Callithrix jacchus: one gene and its partners. The protein of the gene in region 4 interacts with the protein of the main gene of each other region in a biochemical or structural test. Links are inferred from orthologs where the notes say so. Each region holds a gene or a part of one and is shown on either strand. Other genes may lie near its edges. The genes, in order: KIT, DOK1, FASLG and LYN.

Region 1 (7,153 bases), on a different chromosome or scaffold from region 4:
TTGGGTTGGAAGATGTTTCAGGGGATGGCTTTTTCTGTAATCAGCACAGAAGGATTTCAATATTGTTCCAATAAGGCCAAATTGGTGTGTACTGGCTGAACATAAGCTCTGTTAGCAGATATTATAGTTTCTTATTTGAGTACCTATTTTCCCTGCTGGACTGTGAATTCTACTAGGCAGAGACGTTGTCTTACTCATTTATGTGGGTCTTATGCCTACCTAGGGGCTCAAAAAATATTTGCTGAATGAAAAACAGGAATGACAGTCCAACATCGTATAACTCCCTATTCAGTTTTTTTTCCTGATAGAAGATTCTTGCTTAGAATTAAATTGCAATATGGTCTCTTTTCACCCACTCTTTTGAAGATGTTATCCTCTCCAATATCAGCTGATAGAAGAAGAAAATTGTAAATTTTCTCTCTCAGGCATAATGTTGATATTTTAGCTCGTAGTGATTTTTTCTCAATACAAAATGGATTTTAGAAATATATCAAGATCCCAGAAACTTATGATTGCTTTGAGTGGTATCTTTTATCTGTCATCCTAAGAAAAGCATGAGATCTGATGGCCCAGAGCACAGACCTTTTGCATTTCAGTTCTCCTACAGCTGCAGGACTTGAAACTTTTGCTGGGAGATTGGGATGTAGGTCCCATACTTGATTATAAGGACTGTGAGGGCAGGGGCCACACCTGCATATCTGTCTATTAATAATAGTACTCCTGGTACCTAGCTCCTCCTTGCTTCACAGCAGACACTAAATGTTTGCTGAGTGAACAAATACATACATTTGAAGAGAGGCAAATATACACATTGATTATTTGATCATCCTCTAGTACTGATAATTTCTAAGTGATTAGCTTTAAAAATCACTTTTCTTACATCATCCTGGGCCCTGTCACCATTAAACAACAGGAGAGCTTTCAATATCCAATGAAGTGGGGTAGCTGGGCAACTATAAATTTTGGATGATACTTCAGAGAAGAGTCTAGGTGTATCTGTTCTATCCCTTTTTCTGATGGGCAACTGCCATTCATTTTCCATTCTTAAGCTCTCAGGAGGGATGTCTTATTAGTTTATCAAAATGCTTAGGGGAAGCTCATCTTTCTTGGAGTAGGTCTTCAAACAAGGGTTTTTCCTTCGCTACAATAAGAAACATACCTGCTCTATACCCCTCACAAAGCTGTTATCCTGAGCATGAAAGAAGAGTCGGTGTGGAGAAGAACTAGTAACCCCTACACTGTTGCTGCTTTCCGTTCAAGGATCCACCATGAGACCGTGGGTAGAGCACTTTCTGGGCAGTGAAATCTGGCTTAAAAGAATCGTTGTACTTTTATCTTACTCCTGGGACCGGCAAGAGCAGTTAAGAGGAACACAGGGATCCCTAGCCCTGAAACCGTCGTCTGATACAGAGGCAGAGAAATCATTACAGGGGTTGGCAGCATTGGGGTGGGGGGAGAAATGTGTAAGAAAACCTGGGCTCCCAGAGCAAACTTCGCAGCGCGCCCCTCCCCACTCCCTCGCCCCAGTCTCCACAAAAGTCCGGGTACGGGCTTCTTGGGCGTAGGCCAAGCCGACCAATAGGAACTCACTGTGTCCTTACATGTTACAAAGCAGGTGGAGAAACTGAGCAGAAACAATTAGCTAAGCCAGGCTCAGCCTTTACCGCGGTGCCAGGCGCTCCTAACAGGCCTGGAGGGTAATGTCGGGGCTCAATTTCCTACCGCTCCCCTCCCCATCCCCGTACCTCCACCACCAGCGGCGTCCAGCCTACTCTCGCTCGAACGCGCCGGAGGGGCGGGGAGCCGACCTTTATTGTCTGGAGAGCACCTGGCAGGTGGCGGGCCCGTGCCCTAACGTGCGCGTGGTGCCCAGCTTCACAAAGCCAGCGGGCAGCACCTCCCTGGTTCGGGAACGGCCTCGGACGGGCAGACCACATCCCGGGGTTGGAGAGGTGGAGAGAGAAAGGGGCTCCGGGGTCAAGAGCCAGCGGCAAGGGCGGGCACAGCCCCCCCGGCATTAGCACGTCGAAAGAGCAGGGGCCAGACGCCGCCGGGAAGGAGCGAGACCCGGGCGGGCGCGAGGGAGGCGAGGCGAGGAGGGGCGTGGCCGGCGCGCAGTGGGAGGGCGCTGGGAGGAGGGGCTGCGCTCGGCGCTCGCGGCTCTGGGGGCTCGGCTTTGCCGCGCTCGCTGCACTTGGGCTAGAGCTGGAACGTGGACCAGAGCTCGGATCCCAGAGTAGCCACCGCGATGAGAGGCGCTCGTGGCGCCTGGGATTTTCTCTGCGTTCTGCTCCTCCTGCTCCGCGTCCAGACAGGTGGGACACCGCGGCGGGCACCCCGGCCGTGCGACTCCTCGGCGAAACCTGTGCCTGGGAGGGTGGTACACGCCAGGGTGCGTCCGGAGGGGGAGCTGCGGGCCCTCAATACCCTTGCGTTCCAGCCTCCGGGGAGACTCCAGGCGGCCCTCGGACTCTCCAGAGGCCTGCCTTGCTCACCTGTGCGAGGAGACCTCAGCTGCTGGTGGTGGGGGGCGCGAAGCCGGGGTTCTTTCGGGAGTGGGGACAGCAAGGGGGTTAGGCGTGAGCGAGGCTGCAGGCTGCATGTGAGTTTGGGGTAGCTTTTGTGCCGATGGTGCGCTGGGGGCGGAGGCGGGCGGCTCAGGGGTTCGCACCGAGCGCCTTATCTCTCCGTGCGAGGCGCGGCCGCAGATTCCTTTTGTTAAAAGTTGCGTGTGTGTAACCGGTGCCCAGGATGACCTGCCCACAGGTTCTCCGCCACGCGGAGGGCAAAGTTAAAGAGCCCTTTCTCTCCTCTGCGGCTGCTGCCTTCCAACCGCAGGCGCTCTTTGTGCCCAGAGCTGGGGACCGACCCGCTGCTGCCTCTGCTCGCGGCGCCACCCGTGGAGACGAATCGAAGGCTGCAGCGTTTCCCCGCCTCCTGGTTAGGGTTTTGCACGGGAAGCGTGCGGCGTGCGAGTGTGGGGCTGGACCCCCGTGAACCTGGCGGTAGTGGCGACGGGGACAACTTGGGTAGGGCGTGTGGAAAGCAGCCGCTAGGTTGCAGACTTTTTGCTTTCCTACATCGCGTGCTCGCCTCTTTCTGCCGTGGCGCCGTTTCATTCCTGCCAAGCGCCCCGGGGCTGCTGGAGGCTGCGTTTGCCGCCTGCTCCTCTAAGGCAGCGGACAGCGTGCTGATACTCTGCGGTTTCTGACCCTGGCCGCCTAGCCCGCTGGCCCAGTGCCTGGCCTGCCTGGCGGGCTCTGGAAGCCCCTAGTCCGGCTGCCTGCGAACTGTATTCGCAGGTCCTTATTTTCTTAGGACATTTTTGAGGTTCGTAACCGCCCGTCTCTCCACTCCCGGGGCGTCGAGACTTCGGGGCTGCCTGGGGATGGAGAGGGAGATGGAGTGGAACTTTTTGCAAATCTTAGTTCTTAAAGCTGTAACAAAAATCTAGGTATATTCGCGTGGGAACTTGGGTCTTAGGTGTAGGACTTCCAGGCTGCTGGAGCCGCTCGGTCAGATTCCTGCCTCCGGTTCACTTGTTTTCTCGGTGTCGCTGGTGCGCGCGAGTGCAGGTCGCTCACTGAAGCTAACCCCTGAAGCCCTGTTCTCTTCCAGGTCATTTTAAAAAACAAACCTTTAAGGTTACCCTGATGATGTAAGGATAGAAAGTGAGTCTGAGCTGGAATCAAGTGCTTGAAAGGAAGCGGCGCAATGAAGGGTTGTGAGACTGTCGACTATCGGTCAGTTTCTCTAGAAAGCTTCCAGGCGCAGCCTCCCGGGTCCTCGTCTTGTAACCATTGTGAGGGCTTTCCTGTGGGGGTAGAGAGGCCTTGCATCTGGACCCCTGCGCAGCAGGAGGGGTCAGCAGGGGTCACGCGGGAGTCTTCGGATTCCCTGGAGGATTTGATTACCTGTCTTAAAAAGACTCATCTGGTCTTTGTTTTTGTGCCTTGGCCTTTTTAATATCAGTTAAGGTATGTGAACTAGACCCTACTAGGAGACTAGAAAGACAGCCCACATTGAATATCTGCCTTTTAAAAAATTAAATGAATCAATGGTTTCCTTCTTCCCAGTAGATTTTTGGCAAAGGAAATTTGAAGGTCTGCCTCCTGGGGGGCAGTGTGGTATAACGACCAAGCCTTGCTCTCTCCCCGGGATTCTCCTTTTCTCTGCCATTCCTTGGCTGCGTGTCCTTGGGCAGGGTGCTTACATTCCGGGGAATCCAGTGTCCTCCAGAGTACAAGGGGGCATCTGCATCCTGAAGTATCCTTTGCGTCTAGAATTATCCTCCAATGTTCTAAGTGTAGACTCAGCAGTCTTTTCAACTATTTCCCTGGTCTCTGCCTGCCTCTTTGAAATTCCTCTGCCTCTCCTGCTCACAGGGACCTCATAGTGTATGGTTGCATCTGACTGGAGCTGTGGCTTATGCTGCCCGCCCCTCAATTCCCATATATTCCTCTGCATTGCTCTTTGAGGGCTAGGAGGTACCCACTTTGTCCTAACCCTCATTCTTCTCCTCCCCTTCCCCCCTACAACAGTATTACAGCTCCTGTGCCTAACAGGATGAACCTGCAAGGAATAGTGAATCATACCTTCTCGCCTCGTTCCTGCAGGTGTGAGGCTGGAGTCATTCTCAGCAGCTGGACACAAGGCACTCTAAATTATCCTGCTGGAAATAATAAAATGGTCTTATAAAGAGATCCCAGACAATTCATTTATCCCTATTGTTTTTCCCCCCACTCATCCCCCTATTTTCTTCTCGTGACTCTGTAAATCCCGTATGCTGTGCATTTACAACATACTTTCTAACGCATCTTAAATTCCGTATGACATGTGTGATACATAGTTGTTGCTCTTCAGTTGGAAACGATGTACCAGGCCCGGTGCTTGGGGCTTTACCTGCTATTTCTAGTAGTCTCAATGAGCCCAGGAGGTAGTACTATTACTCTAATGTTTTACAGCTGGAGAAACTGGCAAGAATAAGCCCCAAATCATCAGTGGTGAAACCTGATGATTTCTCACTACCATGAAGGTAATGAGATTGGCTTCATGTGCCCAGCTGTATATCCATTCACATTACTCACCAGAATCTGTTGTAAGATTCATTCAAAAATATTTAATGAGTTTTTACTATGTGCCAGGCATTGTTGGAGGTTCTGGGAATGTAGAATGGCCAATGTCACTACCTTCCTAATTTTGGTCAAAAATACTGAGAATTGCATGTCTTATGACAAGAGAGTATTTGTGGAGGGAGGATTCATTAAATTTTAGCTTGGAGAAGGGGCTGTAGGCATTTAACCTGTGGTATGCTGGCTTTAGGTGTTAGCTGACCCATTCCAGGTAGGGTCTCTGAAATGAAGGTAAGCTGTCTCTAAAATGATGATGCAAGCCAATTTAAATCCATCTCTCCAAAACATAAACATGGTCTTGTGCATAGGTGGGAGAGAACACCCCTAATAATGGCTGATACCATTGGCTATTTACCCTGGATAACACAATGAGAAATAACGACAATTTACCATCCAGGGCCATTTTTTCTCCCAAAAGAAATTCTCATCAGAAATGTGCCAGGTATTCTGCGGGCTTTCCTTGGAGCACATTTATGTAAAGATGTTGTGGTGATGAATTTTGCTGCTGTTGTTGACAGTCCTTCAAAGTTACCCTTAGGGTTTTGACTCATTTCCTCAAGCTTCTTCCAGATAATTAAAGAAGGACACAAGGAAAAGAATCACAGTGTCTCCAGTGGAATTTTCAGAGCTGGACTGCAGTGTGGGGACCCCTTCAAGGTGTAGTGGTCAAGGCTGTGGCAGCATTTTCTCCAGAATGAATTCAGTTGAAGAGTTGGCAGGCTATCATGTTGAAGTGCTTTCTTTTGCTGCATTAGTGTGTGGTAACTTTTAAAAAGAGGAATTAAATGACATTTACAGGAATCCAGATATGCAGAATTGCATGTGCAGTTTTAGTAACTTGAATAGATATTGCCATAGCTATAAGTCCAGAATGAGCAAGGCCTGGGAGGGAGTAAGCGGAGGTAAAAGTTTGCCTGGAGGGCAAATCCAGTGTAAATCTTTGTTGTACATAGAGAGGACTAGAGTTGAGTCAGTTTGGCCCAGCAGCTCTGATTTCTGACATTTTTTGGACATGATCATACTGCTCATCTTTTGACCTCAGATTCTTAAGTAAAGGGCAGTTGTAATCTGATAGCCGGCGGAGACGTGTTTTGTTTGGCCTACATGATGCTTTTTAGAAAACATTGAGGTGATATTAAACAATCTAGAGTTTTTATCAAGATCTCTATTTCTGTCTTCTCTCTAAGAATTGAAGGTCATGGCCCCCGTAGATGGGGCCTGTGCTCTTCAGGTTGCATTAGGCTCTAGGACTTGATCCTGCCAACCCTTAGCATTTCCCACTGGGCTCTGGTGAATGCAGGAATCCAAATCTTCCCCCTGGGACCACGCAGAGGCAGATGACAAGTAGGAGGAGCACAGTCCAGCCTACCTTGTGTTGGTCTGATGGCTTCATGACTGACAGCTCTGTAGCCTTCAAGCAAAAAATGGGATTAAATGACACTTGGAGGAATCCAAATATGCAAAATTTCCCGTGCAGTTCTGTTAACTTGAATAGATATTGCCACAGCTGTAAGTCCACAGTGAGGAAGGCCTGGGAGGGAGTCAGGAGGTAAAAGTTTTATTTTTATTTATTTATTTATTTGTTTGTTTGTTTGTTTATTTATTTATTTATTTTTGGAGACAGAGTCTTGCTCTGTCACCCAGGCTGGAGTGCAATGGCGCGATCTTGGCTCACTTCAACCTCCACCTCCTGGGTTTAAGTGATCCTGCCCCAGTCTCGAGGCACTGGGATTACAGGCTCCACCACACTCGGCTATTTTTTTGTCTTTTTAGTAGAGACAGGGTTTTACCATGTTAGCCAGGATGGTCTCAATTTCCTGACCTCATGATCCCATGATCCGCCTGCCTCGGCCTCCCAAAGTCCTGGGATTACAAGCGTGATCCACCTGCTTAACCTTTTTGAGTTTTCATTTTCCATCCTAGTTTTGCCACTTACTAGCTCTGTAACTTTGGGCAAATTTCTTAATATCTGCCAGTAAATGTGTTGCTACATGTAAAACTTTTAGAATGGTGCCTCATAG
Region 2 (7,303 bases), on a different chromosome or scaffold from region 4:
TAGGCAAGCTGCCAGAGGTAGGACACTGGCCAAGGAGACAGGCACTGTGGAGGCTAGGCTCAAGGGACTCCAAATCATTGTCCTGGGCCTTGAGGCTGTTACTCCAGGGCTGGGACTTAAAAAAGAGTTAGGACAGAAAGCCCAACAGAGAATGGGATAGGCACACAGAAACTGATCTTCAGAGAAGGCTCTGGTTGCTCTTTTTGCAGACTGGGCAGCTGCAGACCAACCGAGCTCGAGCCACTGTGGCCCCCCTGCCTGTGACTCCTGTCCCTGGCAGAGCCTCCAAGATGCCAGCAGCCGGCAAATCTTCCTCAGACACCTTCTTTCTGCCCTCGGAATGGGAGGAGGATCCCTCAGGGCCCTAAGTCACCAGCACCAGAGCCTAACCACATCCATGCTCAAGTTCACATAATGGCTATCTGTGGTCAGACCTGCTTTCTATCTGCCTGAGTCTCTGTGAGTGAGGGCTGCCTGGGAAACAAGAGCCGCCTTCCCCACCTCTGTTTCATGCTGTCCCACTCCTCAAGTGGAGAAGCAACACACTCGAGCCTGTCCCTTCTTCAGCAAGGACTCTCATTTTCTTTTAAATCATTTGATACTGTTTACAGAGGTGAAGATTAAACACCCAATAAGCTTCCACCATTGTTAGAATTCCCAACCCAGAATTTCTTCTTGTAGCTCAGTGTAAGCAGGTGGATGAGGTCAGGTCACCTTTAGTAAAATGGGACTCAGGAACAAGGAGGAGGTTTCCAAACCTCAAAAAGACACGTAGGATTGAAATCCAAGCCTCAGTTCAGAGCCTGTGGCCTTCGTGCTACACCACCAGCCTTCAGCCTCCAAACAGACAAGTGCTTGGTACCTACATGGAAAGTGTGTGTGTTGTGGGGTGGGAGTGCTGCCATATAGCCCAGAACAGGGGAGAGGATGGTGTAGAAAAGACCTACTCCTTTCCTTTTACCCTCTCCCCACACGTACCCACCTTCCTGTTGCTCCCTCCATCCACAGAATAGCTACCATTTATAAAATACTTCCTCTGGGTTGGGAGCAGTGGCTCACACCTGCAATCACAGCACTTTGAGAGGCTGAGGCAGGATGATCACTTGAGGCCATGAGTTCGAGACCAGCCTGGACAAAATAGTAAAACCCCCATCTCTACATAAATAGTAAATAAAAACTAAAACAAACAAAAACCAACTCTGTGCTTCAGATTACACTAAATACTTATAATGTATCTAATTTCATACAAAAAGCCCTGTGAGGTAGAGCTCATTATAGTTTTCCCATTTTACAGGGGGCACAGGGGAAACTGAGGGTTGCAGATGTTCCACAACTCACCAAGGGCCACAGAGCTCTCGTCTAGCCTCAGGCAGCCTGACTTGACTCCCCAGGCTCTGAACCGTCGTCACACTCCTGTTCCCTTTCTGGGCCTCTTTCCTCTCCATTACTCTCAACACATTCCTGGTTCTCCTCTTGAACCCCACCACACCCAACCCAACCACTGTGTCCCCGCTTTCTGTTCACACACACAAAATTCTTAAACCCAAGCTGACTTTAATGAGAATTTTAAAATTTTGAAATAGATATCTGGCAAAGAACAATGCAGGGGTAAGGATCCAGGCACATTCCAGCATCTCCGAGACCTCCACACAGGCCCTCAAACTGCAACCACTCTTACCATGCCCCACTTTCCACAGACCTGCTCCCGCAGCTGTCCCTTCCTTTGGGGAAGTGGGGAAGGGATGGTATTAGGGGGAGGTAGAGTCCATCCCTCAGGCCTGTCATCTGTCCCACTTCTTAGGACTTCCTGGGATAGTCCTTCCCTTGACTTCCCCCATCCCTCTGGTCCCCTGCTCTCACACAGCACGGCTCCTCCCACCCTCTGGCTTCTGCTGGTTCTAACCATTTTCTTTGACCCAAGTGCCACCTCCCCATGGTCCTCCTCAGCGACCTCAGCCTTGCCCTCCTTCTCAGGTAGAGCCCTCTGACTTGACCCCAGTCCTGTCAGTCCCTACTCTAGAGAGCCCACAGTCCCAGCTCCCTGAGGCTCCGCTCTTCTGGACCTGGCTGTACAGGGCTGAATTGTGGCTTTTGCTGCCACTGCCAGTTGCAGTACCAGGTTCAGGTAAGGCTAGGCCCTGGGGCTTGGGAGCAGGGAGGGGCTTTGTGCTCCGGGAGGGTGGCACAGCATAGTCATCAGTGGCAGGGTTGTAGGGGAGCTCATAGCCTTCCTCCTTCACCCGAGCCTGGCACCACCATGCATCCTTGAGCTCCCGAGGCAGATCATAAAGGCCCTGGGGAGGGGCTGGGGCCAGGCCCTCAGGTTCATCATAGATGGGATCCTCTTTGGGGTCCGTCAGCTTGGCCTTCATCAACTGCTGCTGCGCATGCTCATACAAGTCCCAATAGAGCACTTTCTTCCGTTGTACTCCCTCTCCTGCCCGAGCAGGGGTGCTGTCCAAGGGGTCTGAGTATAGGGAGTCCTGGGAAGGGTGTGGAGTAATTCGCAGGGAGTCTAAGGGCTCAGCATACAGGGCTGGGGCACTGTCGAGGAGCTCTTGGGGGCCAGGTGGGGAAGGCAACTTCCCCTCTGCCACCTCCCCTTCATGGGAGTCAGCTCTGAGAACATCGTGCCCCTGCCCTGCCTTTCCCTGGGCCTTTTGCCGGTGGATGGCAGTCTCAACTGCTTGGAAGATGTCATTTCCCTGTGCCGTCTGGAAGGTGAAGGTTCCAGGGCCCGAGGGGCAGCGGCGGCCGGCCTCAAAAGAGAACATGACCTGAGGAGGGTGGAGAGGGAGCCATCAGAGGAAGTGAGTCACAGGCCTGCATTAATCAGGGTATCTACAAAGAAGAGACCACCTGGGAACAGACGTGGGGTATCCGGGTAGGCAAGAAAGGGGAATCCGAAGGTCAGAACTACCAACCTCTGTCCTGCCCCACCCACAGCTGCCCAACCCAGGAAGCCCTCCGGGACAGCCACTGCACCTTGTCCCGGCCATAGCGACGCAACAGAGTGTAAGGCCAGGACAGGAGTGGCTCCAGTATCTGATTCTGGGTTCCCACGGTCAGGAGAGTCAGCCTCTCAGCCTCCACCCTCAGCACGTAGGAGCCATGCAGGCCACAGCGCTCGGCGGCCTCAGTCCTCTGCACCGTTACCCAGAATTGGGATCCTGGAAGGCATATACAATTAGCTGCGGCAGGAGGGACGGGGGAGGGGGGGGGCAGCAGTGGGGACCCAGAAGCCTCAGGGTCCAAGCACTCACTTGGAAGCCAGATCTCAGGGCCTTCCTACTTCCCCATGGGTCCCTGGGTATCCACCCACTTCCCAAAGGCACTCCTCCCTCCTCACTCCATCCCTGCCCGGCTTTCTCAAGCATCTACCTTCCCAGGTGGGGCTGTACAAGGAGTTCTCCAGCATCTCCAGGGCAGAAAGCTTAGGTGGGTTATCGGTAGTCCAGCTGCCTTTCTGTAGTACAGAGAGAACATCAAGAAACCTGTAATTTCCTCAACGCGGCTGGGGAGGTGGGAGCGGTCTGAGCCGGCCCCATTTCTCTGCCTCTGTAACTGCCCCCACCCCGCATCGCCGCAGCCCCTCACCGGAAAGGCATTTCTGCACAGCATCTGCACCCAGGCTGCACTGGACGGTGCGTCGGCCGCCAGCAGGTGCGAGCGCTGAGCAGTGTCCAGGCGGAAGGCAGTGGCGCCGGGCTCAGGAGGGGTCTCCACCGTGACGGGGGCCACACTCACACACTCAGCCAGACGGATCACCTTGCAGTCCAGGCGGCGCGAGCTCCCTCGGCCACCTCCAGAGCTCGACCCCTTAGGGTCAAAGAACTCGAGCCGCGCCACACCGTGGGGACTGGCCGGGTAGAGCACAGCCCAGGTCTTCCTCCACCTCTAGGGAGAGAGCGAGAGGACTGGAGAGGGAGTGGCGTGCGCGGGCGGGCCCGGTCCCGACGGGGAAGGAGGGAGCGGTGCGGGTCGATTTGGGGTCTGGGGCTTCCAAAAGCTGGGCGAAGTTTCCCAAGGAGGATGCCACTCCCTCTCTGCAGGACCAGAACCCCGAGACTACAGACGCTTCTCGGGAGCGTGCAAAGCAACTTCGCGGGAAAAATCACAGGCTCTCCAACTCCTGGCGCCGCGCTCCAGCCCGCTGCCCACCTCTCCCTGTTTCTGGGCTCTCTCACCCACTACTAGCCCGGATGGGGTTCGGCATCCGCGGCCCCCGACTACCTTGGTCCCAAAGCGCTGACTCTGCAAAAAGAGCGGCCCTTCCATCTCGGCTCCGTCCATGGCCCCTGGCAGTTCCTTCCGCGCTTCCTGGCCCTGCGGCGGGAGGCGGGGCGGGAGGCGGGGAGGGAGGAGGGGCCGGGTTCCCTGGAGGCGTTTCCGTCCCTCCCAGCACGCCGGCCGCCGCCGAGGGGTCACGGTGGGGTGAGGGAGAGCATCTAGAAGGAAGGGTGGTGGTCCCCGGATTAGCCGGGCAGTGCAGCACCCCAAACCCCTACCCGCCGTCGTGGGGGCGCGCCGGTGGCTCCACGGAGAGATAGTCCTCGATTTCGGCGGGAAGACCCCGGTCTCTGGGCGTGGTGGCTGCGCGTGACGTCATATGCCCAACATGACATCAGAGTGAAAGCCGTGACATCACCCCAAAAGCGCCCGCAGGCACCCGGGGACACCGAGATACCCACAAGGGCCTCCGGGGCTTCAGTTCCCCCTGCCGGGCCCGCCCCCAGCCCCGCCCGAGCGGGGCTGTTTACACCCCACCGGCAGCGACTCGGAGCGGGGCCGGCGGCTGGGGCTGGACCTTTTCCCGCCACCAAGGGGGCCGCCCCGCCGCCCGGCGGCCGCTTGCAAGTCGACTCCCTGACCGCAGCGGCCTGGCCTCCATGCCAGGGAAGAGAAAGCTTCTTTGAGTGGGCCAGGAGGGCCGGGGAGGGGGAGGGGGCGCGGCAGTGGCCAGCTCCACGGGGAGGGAGGACCCAGAGGAGGCGAGGAGGGAGCTGGCCGGGAAGAATGGAGGGAGAAGGCGGAATGTGGGAGGGCTGAGGGAGATGTGGGAGGGACGATCGGAGGGGGGGGAGAGAGGGGGGTCCAGTCTTCCCTGGCCGAGCATTTTTTTGGGGGAAGTCCTAGGACTGATCTCGAGGACCAGCACTCTTCTCCCAGCCCTTAGGGTCCTGCTCGGCCAAGGTAGGGGGAGTCACGCTACCCGCGGAGGGAGCGGAATAGGGGATGGAGAGGATGTGGAGGGACCAGAGAAAACGAGTGGTGTGGGATAGAATCGAGGGGAAGCCACCCAACTGAGAGTCTGATTCTTGTCAAAGGGCAATGAGACAGAGTACAGAGAGGAGGCACTTACTGGAGGCGAGGGCTCTGGGTGTTTTGAACGGGGCAGCCAGGAGCGCCCTAAGGCAGGGGGCTCCTCCGGGAGGCCCTTCTCCTGGGTCCCCAAGCCAAAATGTCCCCAGAACAAAGCTGCCTTGTTGGATTGATTGTTTGGGTTGGGGGAAGCATATTGGCAGGGGCTTGCTGTAGAGGGGTTGTTCTCAGCCCTAGAGAGAGAAGGCCTTGGCTGAGGAGTCATAGCGCCTGGCCTCCGGTTGCCCGGTGACAGCGATGGTGGCGCTGGCAGAAGGCTTGGACAAGCCTACCCCATCCCCCGCCCAGCCTTGAGGCCTGGCCCTCCTGGGCCTCTTGACCCTTCAGGGCATCTGAGAGCCTGTGTACTGGAGAGGGTTGCAGCAGGTTCTCCAGAGGAGCTTCTGTGCCAGCCTTCCCTGCCTGAGAATCTGCTGGGGTAGGACACTGGGCTCCCATTCAGGGGATCCAAGGCCGCCTAGGGCCCCCTACGTGCCTCTCTGCACAATCAGTACAGCTGTCTGTCCTCTGTCTGGGTAAATGGGGTCATCTGGATCCCTCCCACGTCCGCCCCTTGGCTCTTGTCAGTCCCTCTCCTCCTCACCCGCAGTGTGCTTGGTTCCCCTATGCTGAGTGCTTGGTTCTTTCCCTACCACCTTCTACCCATTGTCTCTCTCCTCTGCATCTTTCTGTTTTTCTCTCTATCATTCCCACAGTCTCCCTTCCTCTCACATCCTGTCTGTCTGGGTCTTCCTCTCTACGTGTCTCTTGGTCAGTCTCTATCTCTATTCCTTGACCCTTCTCTGACTCTCTGCCTCTCATAGCTGTCTCTTATCTCTGGGTCTCTCAGGCTGTGTCTCTTTGACCTGTGCCTCTGCCCTTAATAATGTGTTTCTCTCCCTGTCTCTCTTGGTCCCTGGGGTCTCTCTTTCTCTCCTGCTGTCCCTCACTGTCTCTGGTCTTACTGGGTGTCTGTTTTCCCTTCATTACTTCTCTCTCTCTTTCCAACTCTGAGCCTCACTAAATCTCAGTTTCCCTCACACACTTTCTCTCTGGGGCACCCAGGCCTTCCCTGCCATGCGACCTGTCAGTGTCTGGCAGTGGAGCGCCCGGGGGCTGCTGCTGTGCCTGCTGTGCAGCTTGTGCTTGGGGTCTCCGTCCCCTTCCACGGACCCTGAGAAGAGGGCCGAGAGCCAGGGGCTGCGGTTCCGGCTGGCTGGCTTCCCCAGGAAGCCCTACGAGGGCCGTGTGGAGATACAGCGAGCTGGTGAATGGGGCACCATCTGCGATGATGACTTCACGCTTCAGGCTGCCCATGTCCTCTGCCGAGAGCTGGGCTTCACAGAGGCCACAGGCTGGACCCACAGTGCCAAATATGGCCCTGGAACAGGTGAGCAATGATCCAGGCATATCCTAGGTATTAAGTGTGACCAATGTACAGGGAGAGGGAACACCAGGATGGCACAGCCACAGGGACACAGGACACCAAAAACAGCCAGATTGAATAAACCTGTGGATGACAAACCAAGCAACAAGTTAATTCCCAGAGCTGTGTGACCTTAGGCTAGTCGGTGCTTTCTCTGAGCCTCAGAGGCCCTGTGGGCAAAATGACTGGATGATGTCTAAGTTCTTTTCTGCTGCAAAAGTACGATCCTACTAAGCCATACACAAAACAGCCCAGGTACAGGTGAGCCCTGTTCAACTAAAGTACAGTTGGTTTCATGGTATGCTAGCTAAGAGCAGGTAAATGATATCTGGATGGCCCAAAGTCACAAGGCGTCACAGACACTGCAGCTAACAAAATCAGGTTACAGGCCAGAGCTAAAACTAACAAGCTGGCACTGTCTAAGGACAAGTATAAAATCTAGGACAAGTATGAGTGTGGGTGGTGGGGACTTAAGAGCAGTTTCCTAGGTGAGGCCTAGGACTGCTCCCACGGTAT
Region 3 (7,424 bases), on a different chromosome or scaffold from region 4:
TGACCTCCAACCATCAAGCAACACCACCTGCCTATCCTCCCCATCCAGGATATGGTGAATTTTTCCCACTTATTTGAATCTTTGCCATTTTCAGTAGAATTTTTATAATTTAAAAAGCATGGTTCTGAACAATTTTTGTTACAGTTGTTTTGGGATTTTCAAATAGTTTTGTTTTATGTATGGTAGAATTCTTAAAATTATAGTTTCTGATTATAATGAAGTTTAAACTTAGTTTATAACGGTAAATAAAGCCACATATGAGTTCAAAAGCTCGTTAACTCGTGCACAGTCTTGCTAGTCTCATCCCTTGCCCTGTTTAAGAGTGGCGAGTGGGATGTGAGCAGGAGTGCCTGGCAAGGAGGCAGTGGGAGCTGATGCTAAAGAGCCTTGGGTAATGCTTAAGGAGCTTGCACTACTCCTGGTATCAGACCTTTCAACACAAGGCAGGGAAGTGAGATCGTTAGGTTTGCTTTTTAAAACGTCTTTCTCGTAGCATTTTACTGGGTGATTCGGGCTTGGGAAAAATTGGTGGCAGGTCACCTGTTAGGGCATCACTGCAGTATTTCAGGTGAGAGATAATAAAAATCTGACCCTGGGCAATAGCAGTAAGAAAAATGGGAATGGCAAGGGTGGGGCAGGGGGAACCTTATATTGAGGGGAGGGTAAGGAACAGGTCTCAGGTAAAAGCAACAATCCTGGGTGACCAGTTAAATGTTGGGGGAGAGGAAAAGAGAGGAGATGAAGTTGTCTCCAGAAAGAGTGGCCTCAGGAGAAACAGGTTGTGGGGGGATGGGGTTGGGCTGGCGTGGGCAGAATCCATCGGGGAAATAGTACCTTTGGTATTGGTTTGGTACAGGTGAGTGGGCCTGAATGATAGCCACAGAAATCCCAAAGCATGATATAAAAACTAATGAAATTTGAAAAGTAATAAACCTGAAAAAGAAAATGACAAAGTGGGATTTACAGGGCATTTGTATGGCTTATATTGGAGAATAATTAGGACTGAAGCTAACTACTTGGAAGTTATTGGCATATAAATGGTATTTGAGGCCAGAGGAGAAAGGGTGAGGTGAGTCCAAGGAGAGAGGCCTGCTTTAAATGAAACAAAACAAAGAAATAGGGCACAGAGTTAAATTTGAATGTCAGATTATACAATAAATAATTGTTTAGTATATTCCATGTGTGGACACGTTTAAGACATACTTGCCCTAAAAATTATGTATTATTTATCTGAAATTCAAATTTAATTGGTCACCATGTGTTTAATCTGGCAACCATAACAGTGGCTGCACAAGAAATGTCAGCAGAGACCAGGCAGGCCTTTCAGATGGTGAGGTGATGTGTAAGACACAGGGGCGTGGTGGAGGCTGGGTGACCCAGAACACCTGTCCTTCATTCTCAGGGGTAGCTGCTACCCATGGCCTTGAGGGTGTCCGACATTCTGATGTTTCAAAAGAGAATAGAAATATTTTTTTAATGTGTATTTAAAAATATATAATATTTTTAGTATCAATATTTAAAGTGGTCAGTTGGGCTGGCTGAGTGCAGTTGCTCATGTCTGTAATCCCAGCACTTTGGGAGACTGAAGCGGGAGGATCTCTAGAAGTCAGGAGGCTGAGACCAGCCTGGGCACCATAGCAAGTCCCCATCTCTACAAAAAAATAGAATAAATTAGTCAGGTGTAGTGACCTATGCCTATAATCCCAGATACTTGGGAGTCGAGGCAAGAGGACTGCTTGAGCCCAGGATTTTGAGGCTGCAGTGAACTATGGTAGCACCACTGCACTCCAGGCTGGGTGGCAGAGTGAGACTCTGTCTCTCTTTAAATAAATAAATAAATAAAGTGGGCAACCAATGAAAAGAAAAACATGTGAAATACAAAGCAGCTCTGTGGGTTCCACTGGTTTGCAGCCTCTGAGCTAATTTCTAAAGTGGGTGTAGCAGGTTTTTACTCTGTAAATTATGGTGATTTGCTGGTCAGGGTAGATGATACTTGTGTGTGGGGAAGGGATGATGGCAACAGATGTTTTCCTTTTGCAAAAAGTAAAATGTGGGAGTGACTTCTTTGGCCATGACTTCATGGTCTTTCACCTCAGAGCCATTTGCAGTAAAATTTATGGATTTAAAAATATGATTCTGAACAATTTTTGTTAGAGTTATTTTGGGATTTTAAAATAGTTTTTTGGTTGTATGTATTGTAGAATTCTTAAAATTATATAATGATAATTTATAAAAATGCATACGATTATAATTCATAAAATTATATCTCCACTGGCCATTCTCCTGTAGCTGGGAGAAGTTGACACCAACAGGGCTACATCCCAGTGCTGACCTGCTCTGCAGGACCCAAGGAAGGGGAGCACAGCCTACCAGCCTTTTTGGGTAGCCCAGCGACAGCACCTAGGGCTTCAAAGGCCTTCATAAGAAAATTGTGGGCGGAAACTTCCAAGGGGTTTGCTCTGAGCTTCTTGAGACTTCTCAGTTTCAGATGCAAAGTGAGTGGGCGTTTCTCTGAGAAGCAGAATGAGAGAGAGGTGTTTCCCTTAGCTATGGAAACTCTATAAGAGAGATCTAGCTTCCTTTCTCTTGAGCAGTCAGCAACAGGAGTCCTGTCCTTGACGCCTCAGCCTCTACAGGATTAGGAAGAAATAAGACCATTTGCTGGGGCTGGCTGGAGTCACCGGCTGCCATGCAGCAGCCCTTCAATTACCCATATCCCCAGATCTACTGGGTGGACAGCAGTGCCAGCTCTCCCTGGGCCCCTCCAGGCACAGTGCTTCCCTGTCCAACCTCTGTGCCCAGAAGGCCTGGCCAAAGGAGACCACCGCCGCCGCCACCACCGCCGCCACTACCACCTCCACCACCGCCACCATTGCCTCCATTACCACTGCCACCCCTGAAGAAGGGAGGGACCCACAGCACAGGCCTGTGTCTCCTTGTGATGTTTTTCATGGTTCTGGTTGCCTTGGTAGGATTGGGACTGGGGATGTTTCAGCTCTTCCACCTTCAGAAGGAGCTGGCAGAACTCCGAGAGGTAAGCCTGCTGGTGGACTGCCGTGCCCTGGAGGCACCTGGCATAAGGGGGTGCAGGGCCCACTGCCTGGCTTGCCAAGTGCTTTTCAGTTCTTTTTTTTTTCCTTAGAAATGGGTTGTTCTAGTTATTCTATTCTATAGGCAGAGAAATGGAGGTTCACATGAGTGAGGGGAATATTTTTTGTTTCGTAAAGCATCAGAGCCCAACAGTTTTCTTTTCCTCATGTGTCAACTCAGTCTGTTGAACCACTTCCTGCCTCATACCTAGTGATTCAAGGAGTAACAAACAAACCAAACTTTTAAGTTTTGCTTGGAAGTAAATTTGTTCAGATGACCAAACTGAATCTTGAAAGTACTTAAAATATTGATATGATTCCAAATCACAAAACTGGGGGACAGTGAGGCAAAATTGCTTGGACAAAGCCTGAGTTAACAAAAGTTCTGAGGTATTTGGATTCTTTTTCCAGGGCTTGGTTTATTTGACAATTCTGCCTCTTTTGCTTAAAGAGTTTTATTTTTTTTATACATCTTTTCTCTTTCTCTTTTACTAGTCTGCCAGCCAGAGGCATGCAGTATCGTCTGTGGAGAAGCAAATAGGTGAGTCCTTTTTTTGTGGGTACAATGAGTTCCCAAAGATGATCCTCAGCACTGAACTATGTTAATGGAATGCCTTATATTCTGTCCTACACTTTGGCTTATGTATGCTATGAGAGGAGTTCTGGCTGATTCTGAATTTCTGGTCAATATGATTCCTCGAGCTGCTTTAAAAATGTGAAGTCAATTGAATTGCTCACAATCAGTATAGCTGAGCACAGCACACAATTCAAAATCACTTTCACTTGACTTTGGAGACACACATACACAACTTGGACCTTTGCCCCCTGAGGAAGGTCTGTCGCATTCCACAGGCATCTTGGTTGTGGCACACATGCCAGTGGCTTTGACTCCTGGGAAGAGAAGGCGAGGTGAAGGCAGAGATAGATGTTTCTCAGAAACGTCCTCTCCTCTTTTAAACTCTCTAAAGAGATTACAGTGAAGCTTAATTTATAAACTATTTTATAGGATGTATGCTTTTAATGAGGATAATCAATTGCCCACAATAGGATGGTTTTTCTTGAAGTCACTGAGTAGCTTAGGGGAAGACTTCAGCCATCATTCAAAGGACATTCAGCTTCACCCACAGAGACGGTCATGAGGTACCCTTGATCACAAAGGAAAACCCTTTGTATGGGAGCTAGGACAAGAAGATGACATGTTGAACACTGATCTCATGAAATGTCAGGGCATAGTTTTGCAAGCTCTGTACAGATAGATTTTACGGCACACTTCACTAGTCTAAGGTTCACTGAAATTTCAGATTTAGATTTACAATGCGATTCATTGAATTTTTAGAGTTGGAAGGAAGCTTAGAATATATCTAGTCCAGTCATTCTGTCTTTTGGAAGAGAAACAAAATACCAGACAGATTAGGTGAACACGCCCAAGAACACTGGTCTGGAACTGGGGCTGGAAGGAACACGGGCTCTTGATGCCTTGTCACCTACAGGGCTTTCCAGCACATGGACTGGTGCCTCATCAAGTAGGGAAACTCCTGACTGTAGTGACCATGGAATGAGAAATAGATGAAAAGCAGAATACCTCTGCAAAGAGAATAGGTAAATCTCATCCTTAGAAACTCAGAAGCAAGCAGAAGGCAGCACTGGCCAAGAAGTGGAGCAAGTTCCCATTTCTCTGGATGTGGCTACTGCAGGCAACCCAGTCGCCTGTCTGCTATCCCAGATTGTTAGGTTCTTGTAGGAGCCACTGTTGGATGCTCTGGCTCCTGTGTCTGTGTCCTAATCCTTATATGTTAGAACTTCCACATGTACACAAGCAGAGTGGAAATATTTGTTAAAAAAATAAAGCCTCTGGAGGATGTCTTAAATAAGATCATTTTGAAAATCTGTGGAATGTGCCTGGTCTGATAGGTACCTAATTATTCATATTTCACCCACTCTTGAGTCAGTTTAGTGATTAAAAGTCAAATGATCAGATGAGTCAGGTCTATCTGCCTGGTAAGCAATTATCTTCTCTAGATGGACCAGAAATTGGTAAATTATCACATGGCTAATAAGAAAAGAGATTCAAATTAATATAATGCAAATTAAAAATAGGAAATATCAAGTTTTCATCAAATTGGTAAAAATTAAAAAAAAGCACAAATTGACAAAGATTTGAGAGAAAAGAGCCTGTTCAAACATTTGTTTCAGCCAGTGTACATGTAAATTGCTATAGCTTTCTCTGAAGAGCACTTTGGATATACAATCAAAAGCTTGGAACTAATAGTTTACGTTGTAATCCCATAGCTAAGAATTTATCTTAAGAAAATAATCAGAGATGTGCCTGTGCCTGAAGATTTACATATAAGGATATTCATTACTTCCTTATGAGCCTATTTATAATAAACAATTCAGAAGAAACTTGAATGCCTCATACTAGGTTAGTCATATACATTATGATGTATTCAGACAAGTGCTTAATAAGCAGCAACTAAAAACATATCAGAAGGACGTTTAATGCCTTGGAGATTGTACACTCTATTGTTAGATAAAAAGACAAGTTACAAAAGAGTATGTTTAGTTTCATACTGACTATGTAAGCATGTATGCACATATTTATATTCTTAGAAAGGAACTAGAAAGTTTTCTATACTGATGTACTCACAGTGATTTTCTCTGAGAGATACTATTATAGATTATTTACACTCTTTAATTGCCTCCTTTTTATATTTTCCATTTTTTTTCCGTTAACTAATTAAATATCTTATTCATTCACATCTGTGAGGCTAGATGTTGGGTGCTGGATGCTGACTGAGGGTGAGTGAGCCCAGGGGGCCTGTCCTTATGGAGCTTTTAGCATGGTGAAGAAGCTAAAAAAAAGCAAGCAAAAAGACCATGCAATTTCAAAGTTACTCAGTGCAACCTAAGATGGAATGGCCTGGAGAACCCTCTCTAAGGAGGTGTTGTTTATGCTGACACCCGTGGAGGTCAGAAGCCGCAGAGTGAAGGGCTGTGTGCATGTACTGTGGAGTGTGGTGGGGCTGGGAGAGAGCATTTCAGTGCTGGGAATGGCACGTGCAAAAAACCTGGGGCAGGAAGCACTCATCACCAGTGTCTAGGATATATCTGCAGTTTATTTATTCCAGTATTTGTATAGCAGCTATTCTTAGTGAGCGTCTTCTATGAGAATAACATTGTACTAGGCTCTGTGAGGGATATAAAGACATGTGGTTCTCTCTTCCATTTCCTGCCGGTGCATGGCTGAATGCCAGATTAGTTGCTCAGATGGTTTGTGGTGTAGGAATGCAGAGGAAACTCAGTTTTGCCTTTCCTGTTCACTAACACCGCCTTTGTGGTGGGGTGGCTTGGGTGACTACAGAGGTCATGATTGTTCAGGCAATGTTCTCTGTGGATTGGGCTATTCTCAGACCATGTGTGAGTATTACAGGCTAATCATGAACCTGACACAGACAAGCACTTTGTGTGAATATTAATTGATATCTCAGTTAGCTGAATTCATTAGCTAAGTGGCAGCTGTCTATCTTGTCTGAAATAGTTGAAGTCAGAGAAATAGTATCTGTTTTGAGAACTATTGTCTGTCCTTCCATTTAATTTGTCCAGCATTTGCTAGTAACATATCCTGTGTTAGAAACTGGGCTACTCTGGTGAATTCAACATATTGTAAGAAACTTGTCATTATTTGAGGGGAATAAGATAAGTTATGTAGTTATCCTAGAGAAGAGGAGTCAGAAAGAGTGGGGAAAACAGGGTGATCCTAGATTTCAAAAGAGGGAAAGATTGTATTTGATCAAAAAAGGCCTGACAGGGTTCCCCAAAGAAAGAGATATATTAGATTGTCCTTGTGGGATGTTTAGGAATTTGACACAGAAATCTGTTTGAAAGAACATTATGGGTGGAAGACATGGCATGAACCAAGACACACAGGAGGGGAAGTGAGGGTATGTGTAGGCCACAGAACTCCCGTTGTGTGGCAATGCTCAGTGGGAGTAAGGAGATAAGGCTGGGCAGATTGGCTGGGATTGTGTGATAAGAAGACGCATATACAACTGCATCTTTGGGAAGGAGCCATTAAAGGGGTTTAAGCCTCAGTGATATGAGGTGATTGTCTGAGTTCTTAATATAATTAATTTGGAGCAGAGTGTAAAATGTCATTGGGGGAAGACCTGGTGACACGCAGACAGATCAGCAGTCTTTAGTCTCTGTCCTGTAAATCTTAGGGACGAGAGAATCAGAGTGGACAGAGGCCTGGAATTGGAGTCAGGAGTCCAGGGTGTGGTCCAATTTCTGATACTGTCTAACTGGGTCTTCTTGAACTAGTTACCCAACTTCTAA
Region 4 (7,258 bases):
GGTTGACAGAGTGAGACTCCATCTCAAAAAAATAAACAAACAAACGAAGTCCATCTCAGAAGGTCCTTGTCTTTAAACTGGCTGTTACAAAATTTCTAATCCCTCCATTGTCAGATTTGCATACCACTTTCTATACTAGGGTGTCTCCCCCAAATGAGAACTTACTCAAAATCAATTTTAGAAATGATAATGGAGTGAACTCAAAGTTTCACAATTTAAGTATCAGGAAACTAGGCAGCTGTACGAAATCTTTCAGTACTTCTGACTGGAAAAAAACCCAACAACTTCCTCTTCCATGTTCGTCTCTTCATTATCAGCCTCCATTATCGGACGGGAGGTAATGTGTATCTATACTGTGGGCCTAGAACAGTGCCTTGCACACAGCAGGTGGACACAATGGGCAGGTGTTTTAACGTGCATCCTGTGAGCCCTGTCTCCTTAATTTATGTTTTCACCTTGAATAATGCTCTCACTGATACAACAACCATTCAGGAGGCTGGTAAAGTTTATGGGGAGACACTTCCAGGAGAAGGGGGGAAAGTCCTTTTGCAAAGTATTACTCGGGTACTTCTGTATTAAACAGTGAGCAATGGATTGCCCCCCAAGACAATCACTAGAGTTGCTTGGACAGCAGCCAGAATAGGTGTCACCTTAGCAGTTACTGGAGACCACCCTTTCCCACCCCCAAGCAGGAAGCGGCGCTAAAAAGCACAGAAATTCATTTCCAGAAGACAGCTTAAGTGCCTAGCTTGATGGTGCATCTGCTGTGTCCTGAGCAGTTAGCCACTTAGTGCAGACAATTACCAAGTGATAAAACAAAATTAACTTGTGATTTCATTTTTAAAATGTTTGTTAAATGAATTATTTCTTTGCTTTTAAGCACAGATGGTCCGTGACTTAATGATTTTTCAACCTTACAAGGGAGCAAAAGCATTAGGCACTCGGTAGAAACTGTACTTTAAGTACCCATACAACCATTTCATTTTTCACTTTTAATACAGTATTTAATAAATGATATGAGCTGGTCAACACCTTATTATTAAAAAGGCTTTGTGGCAGATGATTTTGCCCAACTGTAGGCTGAGTGTTCCGACCATGTTTAAGGTAGATTAGGCTAATCTATGATGTTTAGTAGGTTACGTTTATTAAACGCATCTTCTACTTTCAGTGTTTTCAGCTTATGATTGGGTTTATTGAGACACAGCCTCATCGTAAGTTGAGAGGCATCTGTAATATAGCACCCACAGGTCCAAAGGTGGACGAGAAGAAAGTGCCAAGAAACATACCTACTATTCCTAATGGTACCACTTAACCAAGCCCATGATTTTGGACAAGCCCCTGAATCTTTTTCTGTTTCTGTCCCTCTCCATACTTATAGGAGCCACAAAAGGTTCAAATGAAATTAGAGTTCAAGAAGACTTCGGAGGCCTGAACAAGTGAAAGGTGCTAACACCTTCACCATCATCGCTAAGCAGAGCCGGGAAAGGCCTGAGGCCATCTCTGCTGTCAATATGACATTGATCAATGTCCTGACTAATGACTGTGGTGGCCTTTCAGTGTTAACACTCATCCAAGCATCATTGAGATCATCAGTAGTTGTGAGCATGGAACAATGTTCCCTGCTGTGGGCATGTATACATTGTATCCTTATTTATAAAGTTAGTATGGGTTTGTACATGGATAACATTATTTAATTTTGTTAAGTTACAACTCCACATAGTCATGTGAACCAACTGGAATCGCAGATGTTTTGGGATTTATTTCCGAAAACATATACTACAGAGAGAAGTAAAAGGCTTTCAAAGTCATTGAACAGTGCTGGACCACTTTTCTGCTAAAAGAAAGTCATTGGAGAGGTGGGGTGGGGATGGGATTACAAAGTCTCCACCTACCTTGGCAACATGAATGACTCTAAAATAATGTGGGTCAAATACCTTTGCAGGAAACATCTTAACCACCCCACATCAGGACCTCTCTTCCAGTGATAAGTAGAGAAGAGCAGTGCTGAGTGGAAATTCTCATTTAGAACACTAAATGTAAGTAACTCGGTGCTGGGTAACTTTGAGTCAACAAAGCCCCTCAAATCCCGGTTTTAGAAACCACAACAGAAAGGGCCAGTAGGCTTCAGATACCTTGGGGACCAGCTCTATTTCTTCATCTCCCTGTGTCCTCAGTTTTGCATACTGCCAGCTCACAGCAGGCCTTCATTCCTTTTTCCAAGTAATCTCAAACTGAGCACCTACTATGTACCAGGCACTGGGGCTATCATTTTGGACAAAACAGATGAAGCAGTTTTCATGGAGCTTCCACTGTAGTGGTGAAGACTATCAACCTGCAGACAGATCAGTATAACTCTGGCTGCTGCTATAAAGGAAATATTAGCTGAATAAAGGGCCCAAGTGGCTTATCCCAAATCACAGCATACTAAATGGTGGAAGAGGCCAAACTCAAGTCTCCCAGCTCCTATTTTCTCTTCCCTTATGTCTGCTGCCCTCTATCCTTCACTCAGCAAAAGCGCCATACATTTGCATCAAAAGAGGCCCAGTCACCAGAGGCTCTATGATCTAATGAAATTTCTTCAAGCCTCAAAGTGCTTACCTGCTTACCTCCAAATGAGAATGGAGGGACTAACTGGATCTCACCCTTTTCCAACAAAGCTTACTCTTTCAGAGAAGGCTTTAGTAAGTCCTGGGATCTTGCAGTACCTACTCGCCAGGACATGGCTTTAGGGGTCGGCTGTACAGAGAAAACATCCCTGCAGCCCACCAGTTTATTGGCTAGTTCTATAGGGCAAGTCAGACTACTGGCACCTGCTTTGATGCAGCAGATTCCTCACGTATTTATTAAGCAGATTTACTAATAAGGTCAGATGACTAAATTCAGACAGTAGACGTAGGTTCAAAATCACCAAGCTGCAAAGAATCAAGGAGCCTCTCTATGTGAATAGAATTTACTGCAATAAATAACAGTAACATCGTTTACAAAATGCCTAGTATGTAGTAGGGGCTTTGTTTGTACTAAACAGCCCCTGAGATATATATGCTCTCTCAAAGATGAAGAAGCCCAGAGTTCAATAATCGGTCCCCCAAAATATACAGCCAGAAAAGTGCAAGGCCTGGATTCTAAGCTGGCAAAGAAGGGCGAATTGGGGATAATTAACACACACGGGCATGCAAAGAAACGAAGACACAACCACAAGTCCACAGGGTTGGCAGGCGGTTGGAAAGTTACAAATGCACCGCAAGGAGAAGATACCACCATAGGCCCAGAGAACGCAGGAAAGTGGGAACTGACTCTTAACGCCCTTCCCCCAAGGCGAAGAAGGAAAGGCAACCCCCGAATTCTTAAAATAACTCTCGCTTCCTCTCAGCCGGCAAATGCACCGGACTGCTCCTCTGCAGGCGGAGAGGCGCCGCAGCGGGAGGGTGAGCTCCGGCCTCTGCCGCAGCCCCTCGACGTCACGCTCCTGCCGGGGGCCACCAGGGAAGGCAGCTGTCCGCGGGCCTGGGAGAGGGCGTCGGCCAAACCCCACCTCCCACTTTCTGGGGACCCAGGGTCCAGAGGGGAGACCAGATTGCACAATCGGAGGAGTCCTCTCCAGGATCCCCGCCGCGCGCCCAGTCCGCAAGGACAGGGGCTTGCCCGCGGTGCACGAGAAGCCGCCGGTGCGGGGACAGCAGCCGGTCCTCCGGCCCGCGCCGGGAAGGGCCCGCGCCGGGAAGGACCCGCGGTGAGCCCGCCCCCACGCCCTCACCTCCCATCACCCTCCTGCGCTGCTACGCGCGCGGACACCTGCGGAGCCCGAGTCCCAGCGCCCTAGCTCCCCTGGGCCGGGTCACCCGCTGGCTGAAGAGATCAGCGAGTCTTCGCCGCCAGGGCCGGAGGCGGTGCGGCCAGGAAGCTGCCGCCGGCCGCGCGGATGCCCCAGGCCCCGAGCTGACCTGCGCCCGTCACTCCGGCTGGTGGCACAGCCGCCGCCCCTGCACCCACCGCCCGCCGCCCGCGCCCACCCTGGGCTCGCGCCAAGGACTCACCCGCTCGCGGTGAAAGTTTCGGGGCGGCGGAGCTCCACGGTGACTTGAGTTCAGAGCGGGGGGCGCGACGGGGCGGCCCAGCGGGACCCGCGTAGGGGGAGGCTGCTGGCTGGGAACTCCGGACGCGCGGCGAGGGGCTGCGGGCGCGGGCTCGGGGGTGGCGCGGCCGCCCAGCTTGCCGCGGGCTGGAGGCTGCAGCTAGTCGGGCCCGGAGGCGCCACTGCCGGGGAGCTAGCGGCAGCGCGGCCCGGCGCGGCGGGAGAGGAACTGGCTGTCTCTGGGCTCGACCGAGAGGTCCCAGCTACTTCCTGGTGCTCGGATTTGCATATTGAGCCCGGAGGGCGGGGAAGTGACCGTTTGGTCCCTGCCCAAGGTTTGGGTGTTTGGTGTGGCCGTCGCGCAGGGTTTGAAGGCACAGAAACCTGGCGACTCAGCCTGCAGCTCCGGCGAGAGGAGCAGCCCGGGCCATCCTTCTGCCGGGACCGACGGACGGACAGGTCTCCGGGTAGCCTCGGCTTCGCAGGCGCATCGACGACATCTCGCGGGTCTCCTTTCCTTTCCTTCCGACCCCTCCTCAAGGTGTTAGGAAAGGGGTGTTCCCGGGAACGGAGGAGGTGAGCTCTGATCCCTTCCAACACTAGGGGGTCTGTAGAGAGAGGATGCGATGTGCCGGGTTGAGGCTCGGGGTCTCGGGCTCTTAATAATCATTACAAAGTAAGTTCCTTCAGGGTGTGCAGGGTTCAGGGCAGGCTGTTCAGGGCATTGATGGGGGAGGGGATGACATGGAGTCAAATGGCCCGGCAAGTTCTCCGTTTCTCAAAGCCTCAGTTTCCCCCCAGAAAATGGATGTAAGGATGCCTATCGTGTACTTTTCTGTACCCGGGCCGCACCGCCCGCATGCGGGAATGCTGGCTGTTACTTCGTTCCTGCTACAGCTGCATGCCGGCATGCAGGGCAGTGCTTGCAAGTAGCAGATGCCCAACCAGTATTTGCTGAAAGAATGTGTGACCGCGGGCTCAAGCTCATGTTCAACTTATCCAAGATGTAAGATTAGGCTCGGACACCATGGATACCCACGTCGAAGCCAGATTCTGTTCACTGGGATCCCAGCATTGCATTACCTTGAAGAATTTACAAGGAAGCAAATTGGACACTGTGGGAGACTTGGTCTTTGCATTAATAGCAAACATTTACAGAGGGCCTGATGGGCCAGACAGTGCCCAAAGCACTTGCTTTCCCTCTCAACAATGTTCTGAAGAGGCTGGCCCCAGCTGCAGTGCAAGAGGTCAAAGCAGCTGCCTTGTGACACAATCTGATACGGCAATCTGAGTACTAAGTTTGCAAACTTTAGTACTCCTTTCCATAGTAACGAATTCCTTAAAAGAAGAAAAGGAGGGTGGTTTATATCTGTGATGTTCACTGGTGTGTAGTTCAGTTAGTTTGCTGCTGAAGAGAAGAAGGGGTGGGTTACCCATGGGAAGGTGTGTGATTGAAACTTACCAAGAATCCTATGGAAAAAAAACAAAACAAAGCAAAACAAAAACAAAGAATCCTATGGAGTAATTCACCTGAGAGCCTATTGCCTGCTCTTTTCTTCAGAATGACCTCTCAAATATGTTAATCCTACATTCAAGTATCTATTGCTACTGATGAATCCTTAAGATCCTGGCTAAACATGAGTGGCAAATAAGAGTAGGGTTCAAAACGTTTGGTATTGGCTAATCTATCAGGAATGTCTGTCAGTGTCTTTGGTAAAATGTCTCTCCAGGTAAGGAGAGCATCATCAGGCAGACATGAACTTGATGAACCCAGCTCCCCAACTCCCAACTCCTCACACACAAGATGTCCTCACTAAGTTCATCTCTTCATTCTTATTTGGAAGAAACAATACCATGCTAATTTCCACTTCTTAGGCTGCATTTATACTTGCTGAATACTTCATTCAATCATTCTCTATATCTGTTTTTCCTTCCTAAAGTCCCATGAAAGTTCTGTTTCTCAGGAAAATTTGATTTAAAGCTCCTATTCATAGTCAACTTTTCTTTTTTTTCTTTTTTCTTTTCTTTTCTTTTCTTTTTTTTTTGAGACGGAGGTTTGCTCTTGTTGCCCAGGCTGGAGTACAATGGTGTGATCTCGGCTCACTGAAACCTCCACCTCCCGGATTCAAGTGATTCTCCTGCCTCAGCCTCCAGAGTAACTGGGATTACAGGCGCTCACCACGATGCTGGGCTAATTTTTTATATTTTTAGTAGAGACTGGGTTTCACCGTGTTGGGCAGGTGGGTCTCAAACTCCTGACCTCAGGTGATCCACCCGCCTCGGCCCCCCAAAATGCTAGGATTAAAGGCATAAGCCACTGTGACTGGCCTTGATAGGCAATGTTTCTAAGCATCTATAGCATGTACAGTATGCAACATTCTTTTCAACTAAACCTAGGTACTTTTTTTTTTTTTTTTTTAGATCTGATGGTTTTAAATAGACCTAGGTACTTTCTAACATTGTTTGCCCTTGTTTTACATGTTAGCCTTCTCTCCTCAACTACTGCAAAACTCATTTTGGAAAGGCACTGTTTTTCATATTTATCTGTTCCCCACGCTACCACCCAAAAATTATGTTGGGTGCTTTAAAATACCTCATTAATATTGAATGATTTGGCCTGGCGCGGTGGCTCACACCTGTAATCCTAGCACTTTGGGATGCCGAGGTGGGTGGATCACCTGAGGTCAGGAGTTCAAGACCAGCCTGCCCATCATGGTGAAACCCCATCTTAAAAAAACAAAAAATTGAATGATTGGTTAATTGATTGATTGACTGATTTATCTCACCAGTATTCTCTAAACTGAGCCCAGAAGGCGGTGATCAGAGGCGGGGTGCAAATCAACCAAGGCTCCTTGACAGGGTAGGTGGGCCTTTGAAGAAAGGAAGGAATAAGATGGGCAGGACAGGAGAGTGAAGTAGTGGGAATACATTAATTATGTACAGTGTATCCTCACTTTTGCAGATACCATATTTGTGAATTTACCTACTTGCTAAAATTTATCTGCAACCCCAAAATCAGTACTTGAGGTGCTGTCCCAGTCACTCATAGACATGCACATCCCACAGCAGTAAAGATCTTGAGTTGCCCCATGCACACCCTCCCAGCTGTGGTGGGAAAAGGCAATGCTGTGCCTTCTGGTATCCTTTCTGCTATCCGTTTTGTTTATGCTTTCCACACTTCTGTGC

What was found.
Region 1: the proteins of LYN (region 4) and KIT form a complex in vitro, tested with the Homo sapiens proteins (2 studies listed by BioGRID and IntAct, with this or other methods). The link is inferred for Callithrix jacchus from reciprocal best matches to the Homo sapiens genes LYN and KIT.
Region 2: of the proteins of LYN (region 4) and DOK1, one has a biochemical effect on the other in vitro, tested with the Homo sapiens proteins (2 studies listed by BioGRID, with this or other methods). The link is inferred for Callithrix jacchus from reciprocal best matches to the Homo sapiens genes LYN and DOK1.
Region 3: the proteins of LYN (region 4) and FASLG form a complex in vitro, tested with the Homo sapiens proteins (2 studies listed by BioGRID, with this or other methods). The link is inferred for Callithrix jacchus from reciprocal best matches to the Homo sapiens genes LYN and FASLG.

The regions. Positions count from the first base shown.
Region 1 is NC_133504.1:142,094,995-142,102,147, reverse strand, and holds the start of KIT (mast/stem cell growth factor receptor Kit), read left to right. Parts: upstream 1-2,190; 5' UTR 2,191-2,248; coding exon of another isoform or gene 2,249-2,315; intron 2,316-3,117; exon of another isoform or gene 3,118-3,330; intron 3,331-7,153. UniProt on the Homo sapiens protein: Tyrosine-protein kinase that acts as a cell-surface receptor for the cytokine KITLG/SCF and plays an essential role in the regulation of cell survival and proliferation, hematopoiesis, stem cell maintenance, gametogenesis, mast cell development, migration and function, and in melanogenesis.
Region 2 is NC_133515.1:38,641,471-38,648,773, forward strand, and holds DOK1 (docking protein 1), read right to left. Parts: upstream 4,331-7,303; 5' UTR 4,294-4,330; coding exon 4,234-4,293; intron 3,898-4,233; coding exon 3,598-3,897; intron 3,467-3,597; coding exon 3,382-3,466; intron 3,171-3,381; coding exon 2,986-3,170; intron 2,778-2,985; coding exon 1,971-2,777; 3' UTR 1,538-1,970; downstream 1-1,537. Other genes in the region: M1AP (meiosis 1 arrest protein), read left to right, coding at 210-368; LOXL3 (lysyl oxidase homolog 3), read left to right, coding at 6,439-6,751. UniProt on the Homo sapiens protein: DOK proteins are enzymatically inert adaptor or scaffolding proteins. They provide a docking platform for the assembly of multimolecular signaling complexes. DOK1 appears to be a negative regulator of the insulin signaling pathway.
Region 3 is NC_133519.1:30,106,644-30,114,067, reverse strand, and holds the start of FASLG (tumor necrosis factor ligand superfamily member 6), read left to right. Parts: upstream 1-2,588; 5' UTR 2,589-2,689; coding exon 2,690-3,034; intron 3,035-3,584; coding exon 3,585-3,630; intron 3,631-7,424. UniProt on the Homo sapiens protein: Cytokine that binds to TNFRSF6/FAS, a receptor that transduces the apoptotic signal into cells. Involved in cytotoxic T-cell-mediated apoptosis, natural killer cell-mediated apoptosis and in T-cell development.
Region 4 is NC_133517.1:12,278,641-12,285,898, reverse strand, and holds the start of LYN (tyrosine-protein kinase Lyn), read right to left. Parts: upstream 4,304-7,258; 5' UTR 4,035-4,303; intron 1-4,034. UniProt on the Homo sapiens protein: Non-receptor tyrosine-protein kinase that transmits signals from cell surface receptors and plays an important role in the regulation of innate and adaptive immune responses, hematopoiesis, responses to growth factors and cytokines, integrin signaling, but also responses to DNA damage and genotoxic agents.